Linked DNA regions of Arabidopsis thaliana. The protein of the gene in region 1 interacts with the protein of each later gene in a pairwise test. Each region holds a gene or a part of one and is shown on either strand. Other genes may lie near its edges.

Region 1 (5,641 bases):
GTTTGATTGATTACCTGTATCACTGTTTTTGATCCAACAAAGGCCTTTATTTTCTTCCAATCCCGGTCAAATCTGCAATCAAATAGACATGATCATATCAGAAGAAGAAGAACAAATCTCAAAGATTCTATATATCATTAATCAGATAAATGAAGGCAGAGAAGTGAAATCCGTGTCAACATACAGATGAAGGGCTTCAAGGAACTTGTCGTGTTCTTGCTCCGTCCAGTTCTCTCTAGATTTGGTGATAGTGTAAGGCTTTCTAACCTTCTTTGTTGGATCCTCAAAAAACGACATCGTCCTATTGCTCCGTATGGAAACCGGTATCGTTGTTGCCGTGTGGGGAAGAGTATTGAAACCCGGTAGACTCATTTTCATAGGCAAACAATGAGCTTGGCTAGGGTTTACAGTCACCATAAAACTCGACAACACACACAAAGTTCCCTTTTGGTTTGAAACAGAGTTTGTGACTTGAGAGACTTGTGTGAGAGTGGTGGTGGTATAAGCGGGAGAGGGAGACAAGGTTAGAAGTGTAATCTCATTCGAAAAATGGATTTAAGCCGAACACGTGTAAGGAGCCGGTTGCTCTGGTTCAGAGCGTGGGACTAACAACTACAAGCCATGTGGACATTCTCCTAACACTCATGCCACGTACAAATTTAAATCCACGGCACATAAATTGCCACGTGGAATACGATCGTAAGCCAGCAATCTTATTTACGAGATAGCTGCCTAGCTGGGGCCTGGTTCGACTAAAAATGAAGGTTACTTTCTTTTGTAGTTTAGCTCAAATTTTAGTTATGTACGATGATGTGTTTTATGTACGATGATCTCTAAAACACAAACGCAGCATATACAAATACAATACACACACCTATTTCAAACTACTAACCAAACACACAATGCTTTCGAGTTCATCACGACCAGACCCAGAAAACAACAACAAACGTCCCTCTAAGACAAGCTCATCGGATGTTTCTGCAAACCGAGAATAAATAAAAAGAAACAATGATTACAGATATAAGTTGGTTGATACCAACTACACAACACACGACACAGTCTCGAAACACAAAAATTGGGTGTCTCTGTTTTTCGTCTGTGAATCCTAAGGATGTTAAAGTAACAAAAGTAATTAAAAGAGAGAAACTCACAAATGGAGAGACTCTGTTTTTCTTTTTAATCGATCCAACGTGTGATACCATCGTCTCCTACCATTGCCAATATCTCCACACGAACGTCCAACACCGCCTGCAACATTCATTACACAAATTATTTCTGTTTTCCAAGAAGTAGGGTTTTTCAATTTCGGGCCATTTTCTGTAAGGACAGAGACTTACAGAGGAATTCCTGCAGTTAACAAGCCGACATTCGTCCAGAGAACCTTCTAGACTCCAACTCTCCCACACGTCAAAACTATGGCTAGCAAACACAAACTCCATTCTTCTATTGATCTGCACACACACACACCCATGACACAACCACTTTTAGATTCCATAAGAGCAACATTGAGTTACCAATGGAAGTAACACTCTCTAATGTAAGAGCTACCTGCAGTAACTTCCCACCAGCAGCAAATGATCTCAGACCAACAGTGTCCTGGAAAACAAGTTCATGCACCAAAACCAATTTATAATGGTCTATCTGGCATTGTAAGCAAGATAAATGAAAAGTAAGAGAGAGAAAAAGGTTTACCTTGTTTCTGTATGCGATAATGAATTGTGCAGCAGGATCTCGTTTGGATACATTGGACAAAGTATCGAGGAACCAGCCACCGTTTTTCGTTCTTTGCCTGGAAACGTGGAGGCCCGAGAGGTCTTTCGCATACAAGGCTACTACATATCCATCTTTCAGTAGCTCACTTGACTTTCCAATGAACTTCTTACTTGACATTACAAGCTGATTTGGGGAAGACTCTTGCATTACTTCAAGAGGTGTTTTCCTACTTCTGGAATCTTCAGGAGAAGCACATCTAGAACTGGAACTTAATACTTCTTCTGTGTCACTCATAGCAATATCATCTCTTCGTGAAGTACTTTCTTCATTTAACCCTGAGGAACCATCCGTTTTTTGCATGTATTTTTGCTGTGAATGTCTCTTTTTGGCTTTCTTACCGGATCTGCTACGTCTTCCTTCAGGTTTTACGGCAGTATTTTGAGAAACGTGTTGCTGACCAGGGCTCAGAGATTCTTTTAACTCACTAGCCTCTCTACGTACGATCTCAGTGCTGGTGAGAGTACTTTCTCCCTGTTGCCTACTGGTGGATTCCACTATTGCTAATTTCTCGTGTTTGCTAGGTGATTGTTCTTCTTCTTCACTTGCTTCACTTTCCTCAACTTCCTCATCAGAAACAGTGTTACTTGGAATTACACCATCTAAGAAAAATGAATGCAAGATAGAGATAGCCTTCTCCCTTATCTCCATCCATACTTCCTCACTGTAATCTGCACTGCGAGGTAGAATTAACACATTTGGCATTTCCTTCACCTGCAATGAAAACAAGATATAATGGATGCAGGATAAACAACAGAAGAAGATGATGAAACAAGAGAATAGGCAGGCGCAAATGTGAAGTTTAGTCACTGGAAAAGAAAGTCATACCCATGCTTCCATCCATTGTGGACCTTCAGCACCGTCAAGGGCGCAGCCAGCTATAGTGCCATCAATTAGAAGTTGTTTCACAGCACAATCATCCAACAGCTGGCAGCTTCCAGTATTTACAAGAAAAGCCCCTAATACATAAAATCAACCAGAATTGAAGGGAATGCGAGAAAGCAGAAGTTCATCTTCAATTCACATTCATGGAGAATCAAATTTCATTTGACAAGAAAACTCATACCAGGTTTTATATGCTGCAAACACTCTGCATTGAGTATCTGAACCGTGTCATTTGTTAATGCACAATGTAGCGAAATGACATCACTTGCTGCTAGAAGATCATTCAATGTATCCATTCTTCGAGCAGCACGTGGGAATCTCGAGGGCCTGATTCGTTCTTCATCTCCCTGAACAGACGCAAACGCAACTATTGACAACAAATATAACATCCAAGGGAGAGGAACTTGAAAGAGAGCCATCATAGTAAGCAGTTTAGGAATGTAGTAGCTAAGAACTCAGCACTTTTTTTGGTCCCTAAAGAGTCAGTTTACACTAAGATATTAAAAGCTTAGCGAGACATTGCCAACAAACATACCTCTGGGACATCGAAGTAGAGCACACTCATCTTGAAAGCCAAGCTTCTACTAGCTAAATACCGAGCCGATACAGATCTGCCAACGATACCCAAAACCATACCACGGCACCGTCTCATTCCCCGGCAAAGAGGCTGAAGCGATCCGAGCCAACCAGACGCCGATAGAGCGTGTCGCGAGAGTAAATGCGTCCGTCGAAGGAGTCCAAGGATGAGCGCCATGACGGTATCCGCGATTTCCTCGGCTCGTGAAGTATCTACATGGACAAGTCGGAGACCTAGGTCGGCGGCGAGAGTCGAATCGACAGCGCGATCAGCAGAGCCAAGGCAGAGAATGAGCTGGTGAGGACGGAGTCGGCGTTGAGCTGCTCGTGGAAGATACGCGAGGGAATGGAGGAGAACGGCGGTGGCGGACTCGATCTTACCATCGGCGATGCGGCTGAGCGGGACGTATTCGACACCAGCAACGCCGGCGAGGGAGTCTTGCTCGAGCGCACAATCCTCTATACAGTTGAGTGTAACGACGTGAGGCGACGCCGGTGACGGCTGGTCGCGATGTGGCATTGTCGCAGACGAACGGATCTTGCTCATCTCCTCCTTCTTCTCGCTACTCTCGAGGAGTGAAATTTTGATTTTGGGAACATAATGATTTAGGGTTCAATGTTGTAAACTCTTACAAAATTAAGGGGCTAAATTTCATTTATAATAATTTTCAGGGCCCAAAATACAATTTAAACAAATTGACAATAATTTTTTAGTCCAATGCTCATGCTCCCCCGATAAGACGTCATCGGTTTGACATTTATGATAAACGACGCCGTCTTCCACTTGGCTTGTTGTAATAATTTAATTTACTAATTGCAAACAGATACTGAATACAGGTGAAACATGTACATTCCCTATTCCACATTATTTCCTGACCAGAAACCGAAAGACAAACTCCAGCGTTTGACAACAACAACAATAACACGAAATCTCTTTCTACACAAGAGCAACGACATAGACAGACTTGAGAAAAGAAAGAACAAAAGAACATGACTGGAGCAAGATGGGAACTCTCTTTTGTGCTACTAAAGTATATGAACAGAGCCGAATATATATATATATTCAAAAGGACACAAACAGGTGAAAACCAAAAGCTCTATACATCTATCTACCAAAATTCTATCTCTTTTATAACCCACTACGTTACCGACATTCTTAGTAGATCTCGAAATGTCTAAGTGGGTTTTTAGTTTATGGTAGGTGATGATCAGAGAAACCTCCTACGAAGGTTACTAGTTGTTGCTTGATACGAACGCATGAGTAATCCAACTCCAATGCCTACACCAAGACACATCCCAAGGCCTATCCCAACTCCGACTCTGACTCCTGCATTGAACCATGAGAGCTGACCATCCTCATCAACGTACATTCCTTCAGGGTAATATCTCTGTGCCATTTTCATATCTGAGTCATCGTATTCATCAACTTCTGATTCCATCATCTGCATAAACGAAACGACAAACAAGATAAAGCACCAAAAAAAGTGCAAAGAGAGTCTATTGACCTATATCCATATCTCAATTTCTGATCAGTCAACAATTCTACAATTTTCAAATTCAGCTGTAGAGTCAAAGAAAACATTCAAGCAGGAGCTAAATTCACCAGAAACTTGCGAGTGATCTTAATAACTAAATATCTGCTACAGCATTCATAACTCACAAAACTAGACGAAAGAAGCAACCTTTTCAAATCTCAATCCCAAGTTATTAAGAATCGTAACTTAAGGGCTTGGACAATCACCAAACAGAGAATTGTGAAATCAGAATCATACCTGTACTTTGCTTTGACGGGCCAATTCATCACCAATGGTACCAATGTCTTGCTCTTTGCCAACTTCCTCATCCTCAGGGATAGCGTCGAGTGTCACGTGCCTAGCCACCTTCCTCCTCGGACTCGCCTGAATCGTCTTGGTCAATATCACCGGGACACCACCACAACAACCAGCTATATAAACCTCGACGGACGGAGACGAGACTCCAAACTTTGGCTGGAAAAACACAGAGGCAGAAGGACCTGACACGTGTCCGTTTCCCATAGCAATGTAACAATCCATGCCCCATCCAGTCTTGGGATCACTCACAGTTCCATTGTTCCAAGCACCTTCGATTCTATCTAGGTTCCCACACAAGACCATATCCTCGTTATCATAAACCTCGAAATCAACGCATCCGGTAACGCGAACGGTCTCAGTGCTCACGTAAGTCACCTCCGACGATTCCCGGTCGACTCTGTCACGGCGGAGTTTAAGCGACGCCGTCTGCGACGAAGGAACGCGAACGCCGTTAACCTCAAGAGAAGCACCGGTTTCGCGACGAGGGTGACGGAGGGTGAGGAAGTCAGGGACGTTCTCAACGACGCAAGGAGCGATACGGACGTAGAACAAACGAACCTCCAGCCACGCCGATTGCG
Region 2 (5,147 bases), on another chromosome or scaffold:
CTCACATCCTTTTATCAATCAGGAGAGTCTTGAAATGGAGGAAATAAGCATGCGACATTTAAAAGCTGCGATTAGCCAAATCGAACCAACAGAGATTCTGTCTTACAAAGCACTGTCTGAAAAATTCCAAAGACTTGTCCATACAGACCCACAAAGAGAAGAGGAGGTTACACAACCAGGAAACAAAAGCCGATCTCTATGGTAATATATATCTCTATTATCCATTCTGATCTCTATGCTATTTGAAGTTGTAAGTTACACTCACTTTGATGCTGTTACTTTTCCAGGACACCATTGAGATCAGTTGCCATGTTTCTTCGCCGCCACATTGCTTCGTAAACAAATGTTGAAACCAGCAAACTTTGGAAATTCTCCATCACTAACGTACGTATTGTGTTTGTTTAAACTAGATATTGTTTTTTTGTTGCGTCTCACAGACTTGTACGAATCAACGGAACAAATAACATGAATGTAAAGATTTGGAAGGCTGATTATTTATCTTGTGTAATGCAAACCTAAAGGACAGCTTTTGCAGATTTGGAAGACATTCAATTCAAAACAGAGAATTTCGATGAAGATTTGACCCACAGGTAGTTCATTGGTTTTCCATAATAGACAGAATCTGATAATTGTAAAAGGAACAAAAGGTCTCTTCATTCTGAATTTTGACATTACAACTCCAAAATTTCCATTACAACAGTTCCTAGGTTCTACAAAAAAAAATGGTAAACAGAGATAAAGATCGACAAAGAGGCAAGCACCTAGCGGTTCTGCATGTAGTCGAAGCTCAAGGGTTGTTGAACGAACTGTGCCTGGAGAAACAAGTTACAACTGCTTTCAGACAATCATTGGAAACAATGCACCAAACCAACTCAATTGCTTTTTTCATTTGTTTTTGGAAGAGTTTTAATAGAATCCATTTCTCTTAACGAGTTCTCAGCTATGCATAAGTATATATTAAACATGTGGGTGAAAAAATTTCAATATATGGTCCTTATATTTGGACAAAAGTTTTTATTCCATGATCGCTCAAAGAGAGTAAAAAGGATCAATGTTATTTACCTGAAGAGAGCCATTCCTGAACTGCTCATACGGATGAGCATACATCATAGCTGCATTAGGCCAATGCATATACATTGCATCCATTGTGGTGCCATAGGGACTCATGATTGAGCTAGGATGTGGTCCGAAGCCAAGAGGAGCAGGAGGACTTGGAATTTGGTTATATCCAGTGAATCCCATTTCGTAGTATGGTGTCGGTATTTGCTGAATGTTGAAGGGTGGTAGATTGAAGTTCTGATTCACCGGAAGGCTCCTAATGTACCTGCATTGACACACACAATTATCATCAACCATCATGTATGAAACTTTTTCGCTAGTATAGTAATGGTTTAGCCAGTAAACTAACAGCTGAGTTACTCACCTTTGGTGTCTGCGGTCATAATCAGGGTCAAACCGATCTTTCTCTCTGTCTCTAAATATTGCAACACGAGATGTTGGACCACTTTCCCTGATGCTTAAGTTCTTCTTGACCTCAACGTAAGCATTCTTAGATACTTGCTTGTCATCTCTGCTAAGACTTGCATTCCTCTCATACACCTGAGTTTCAGATGAAGAGTCATCACAACTAAGACCAGTAAGACCACTGAATATGCGTTCTCGAGCCTTGTCATACTCTTCTTTCCTCTCTTCAACACTTCTAAGAGGACCACGATTCTTTTCCAGATCACCAGCGCCATATCCAGATCCTTTAGAAGGTCGAGTCTTGATGGAAACTTTCCTGCTCTCAAACTTACCATTTTCTGATTGTTTAGCCACCGGGATTTCAGACAACCGAACAGCAGGAAATTTGCTCTCTGTAGTTTTCGTCACAAGGATTCTGTTTTCATTTCCATCAGCACCACTCTCTTGGACAGCTGTAGCTAGCCCATAATGGTTAGCAACACGATGGGCTGCAAGACGAAGATACGAAGTAGGAAAATGCTGGAACTCAAACTGCTGCTGTTCAGGGTTCTGCAACAACCTTTGAACATCAAGTTCCATCCGCAAAACTAACACAACAAGAGAAACAAAACAAAAGGCTTAGTTACAGTAGCAAGAAACACAAAAGCCAGGACACACCACAGGCAGTTCCACACAACCACACAAAAGCTAAGCTACTACCAGATAAAGGAGATATATGTACCACAAGCAGTTCCACATAAACCACACAAAAGGTAAGCAACTATAAATGTTGAACACCATGGACAGAATAAAAGTTTACATCTTTGATAACATTAACCATGGATAATACAGTGCAGAGAAGAGAGCTAAATTCAGCATGGGCATCAACATAATCGCAAATCTAAGAAGAGAGCCAGTTCCTGAGAAACCCAAAATCCCCAAATTGCGGTTAAATTAACCTAACTATACCCAGCTAAATTCAGATAAGACCACCAATCAAAATTTCAAATTTGTTAATCCAGATGACAAAAATCAGCTCTAATTTCAGGAAATAAGGTTAAACGACACGAATCAGAGAACAAAAAAAAGAAGAGAAACGGAGCATACTCGTGAGACGATGGCGAGAGTTGTGCAACGCCTCAACGAGAAAAGGATCCACATTAAATCCATAATCTCCGATAACCGAACCACCGGTTACCACGGCAGTTTCCGGCAACACTACGTCCATGAGAAAAAGGAATGGATGTTTCAGAGAGTTCTGGATAGCTTCCTCGCCGCGTCTCTTGCTTAAAACCCTTGGGTTTCTTAATCTCTCCGCAGCAAAGAGAAGAAGACAAAATCAAGAGGAAGAGGAGAATAGAAATCGAAGCATATTGAGAGCGGCGAGAGAGAAGAGGAATGCAAAACCAAATCTTATCTTTCTCTCTCGGGAAGGCAAAGCCAACGAACGAGAGGGAAAGGAAACTTTATATTTTTTCCTTCTTTATTTTTTATTTTTCTCCTTTTCATTGAAAATAAATATCTCATATAATTTTAATTTTTTAAATATAGTTTTTCTCTTCTATTTGGACCCACGATAACATGTGTAGGTATACTATATAGAGCTTATATTCTAAACAAGCATTTTGAAAACATTTCTTTCAAAACAGAGACTCTAAACAATGTCCGTGCTGATTGTCTTGGTAAGAAGGCAAGAGCACGAGATTCTATTTTTTCCCATGTAAGTTCTTCTACTCCGAACTAGTTTTCTCTCGAAGAAAACCGACCCGTTTTTAGCTTAAATGGATGACCTTATTTTGCCGTAAAAAACAACAACAGTAAAAGCATATAATAACTCCAATTTTCATTGTTACGGACATTTTTGCCCTTAAACTATGAGCTGGAGTTGAGAATGAGGTGAAAAGAATGCGTTTATCTTCTAAAAAATGCATCCCCATCTCTGATTCAATTTTAAGTTTCTTTTGACATTCAGAGATATATGGCTTAGATAGTGGATTTGCAGCTTCGACGGTAGACGTGAAGCTTTGACGGTAGCACAAAGATTTGGTGGTGGTTCACGGCTTTGACGGCGAGGGGTAACGAACGACGTCAATGGTAAACGCTATACCCTAGAATTAGACTTGTAAACCCAAACCGTCAAATATACAGTCTACAATTCTTACATACACACAATAACACAACACTACAACCATCCTCATTATCATCAAACACCATTAACATGAACAAAAATCAATGTACTTGTAGACATGATTATGAACATCAATTGAGCAATCAACAAAGTATCAATCACTTCTTGAGTTCCTTAACCTGCACAAAAATCACTGAACAAAAAAACGTGCAAATCGTAATACCAAATCGTGGGACTTTTTTGTTTCTTGTTGTTTTTTCCAGATCTCAAAATGTGGGATGTTAAAAATCTAGATCGCATTCACATCTCATGAGGACCAATTGTTAATCGTCTGAATTTCCAATCGTCGCTGACATCACTCTGTAATCAATGACTCCAAAGTTGTTGGTGTTGGTCGCAAGTATTTTTGATTTCTAGTGTAAAACGTAAAAGTTCATCAACAAAGAAAGAGCAACATCATCTCTCTGTAAGGGTAAAAACAACTTTCCCCAGGAAAGAAGTGCCTAAATCTAAAGATCATTTTAAAAGTGCCTAAAATAAAATATATATCTAAGACAAATGCCTTATTTGCAATAAACTCTATATACTATATACTATATAGAGAGCCCTCGTTCATTAGTCTAAGGTTTGACAAAACAGAGATGATGACGAGAGGACGCAAAGAGAATAGCAACGAGACCTCACCCTCGCCGACACTACTTCTTCACGGCGGAGTTATCGATATCCCTCTGAATACTGACAGTGGAGTGACTAAAAACACTCCCGGCGAAATCGCACTATTGAGGTTCAAATCTGTCTCGAAGCTGTGGTCATCCATTATCAGCAGTCGTAGAGACTTCATAGAATCGATAGTGACTCGATTTTTGACTCAGCCTCCTCATGATGCCCATTTCATCTTCGGCTTCGATTCAGGCCCTTACGTGGAATGTTTCTTAGGCTTATCGTCTACTTATCCTCCAAATACGGACATAGAAGCAGTACTATCAATCCCTGGGAGAATGGCGCAGTATGTTTACGGTTTGATGTGTTGTTTGTCTGGTTTTAAGGTAGTTGTATATAACCCTACCACAAGACAGTCCTTTACACTTACCAGGGATGACACATTGATTTATTATCCAGGGGAAACTACTACAACATATATAACTCTACCTCTAGATATAAATTGATGAGTTTTGATATCAGGTCTGAATTTTTTTATCATGTTGAATTCCCAGTAGAGATGATATTTCAACTCTGGTAAACTACCAAGGGAAGTTAGGATTCGTGTTTTGCGCGAATGACATGGAATATATTTGGGTTATGAAGGATGCTAAGAAGGAGACACAAGGATGGTCCAGGATTTTCTTTCACGAGATGCATGGCTTTTCAAATTGGCGCATCTTGGGTGCTACTTGTGGTGGTGAGATCCTTTTTGCCAAGTGGATGTACTGCATCTATCACTATGAAGACAAGCTGTTATGTGTCTTATATTATGAGCCGAAGCGAAACAGTATGAGGGGTGTTGACGTCGAAGGTACTTTACCTAATGATACAAGGCGTTACAGATTTGTTATAATCTGGACTATTCCGGATCATG

The links.
Region 2: the proteins of AN (region 1) and AT3G56680 interact in a two-hybrid assay, tested with the Arabidopsis thaliana proteins (one large-scale study listed by BioGRID).

The regions. Positions count from the first base shown.
Region 1 is NC_003070.9:185,372-191,012, reverse strand, and holds AN (NAD(P)-binding Rossmann-fold superfamily protein), read right to left. Parts: upstream 3,869-5,641; 5' UTR 3,779-3,868; coding exon 3,191-3,778; intron 3,003-3,190; coding exon 2,837-3,002; intron 2,730-2,836; coding exon 2,599-2,729; intron 2,485-2,598; coding exon 1,693-2,484; intron 1,597-1,692; coding exon 1,549-1,596; intron 1,452-1,548; coding exon 1,338-1,451; intron 1,249-1,337; coding exon 1,177-1,248; 3' UTR 541-1,176; downstream 1-540. Other genes in the region: ASG4 (Homeodomain-like superfamily protein), read right to left, coding at 15-72, 185-417; AT1G01500 (Erythronate-4-phosphate dehydrogenase family protein), read right to left, coding at 4,440-4,673, 5,004-5,641. UniProt on the Arabidopsis thaliana protein: Involved in controlling the equilibrium between tubular and stacked structures in the Golgi complex. Required for cortical microtubules (MTs) arrangement that confers cell shape.
Region 2 is NC_003074.8:20,989,061-20,994,207, reverse strand, and holds AT3G56680 (Single-stranded nucleic acid binding R3H protein), read right to left. Parts: upstream 2,929-5,147; 5' UTR 2,672-2,928; coding exon 2,551-2,671; intron 2,052-2,550; coding exon 1,424-2,051; intron 1,325-1,423; coding exon 1,063-1,324; intron 813-1,062; coding exon 762-812; 3' UTR 522-761; downstream 1-521. Other genes in the region: CIP111 (Cam interacting protein 111), read left to right, coding at 23-201, 288-339; AT3G56670 (F-box/associated interaction domain protein), read left to right, coding at 4,213-4,617, 4,877-5,147.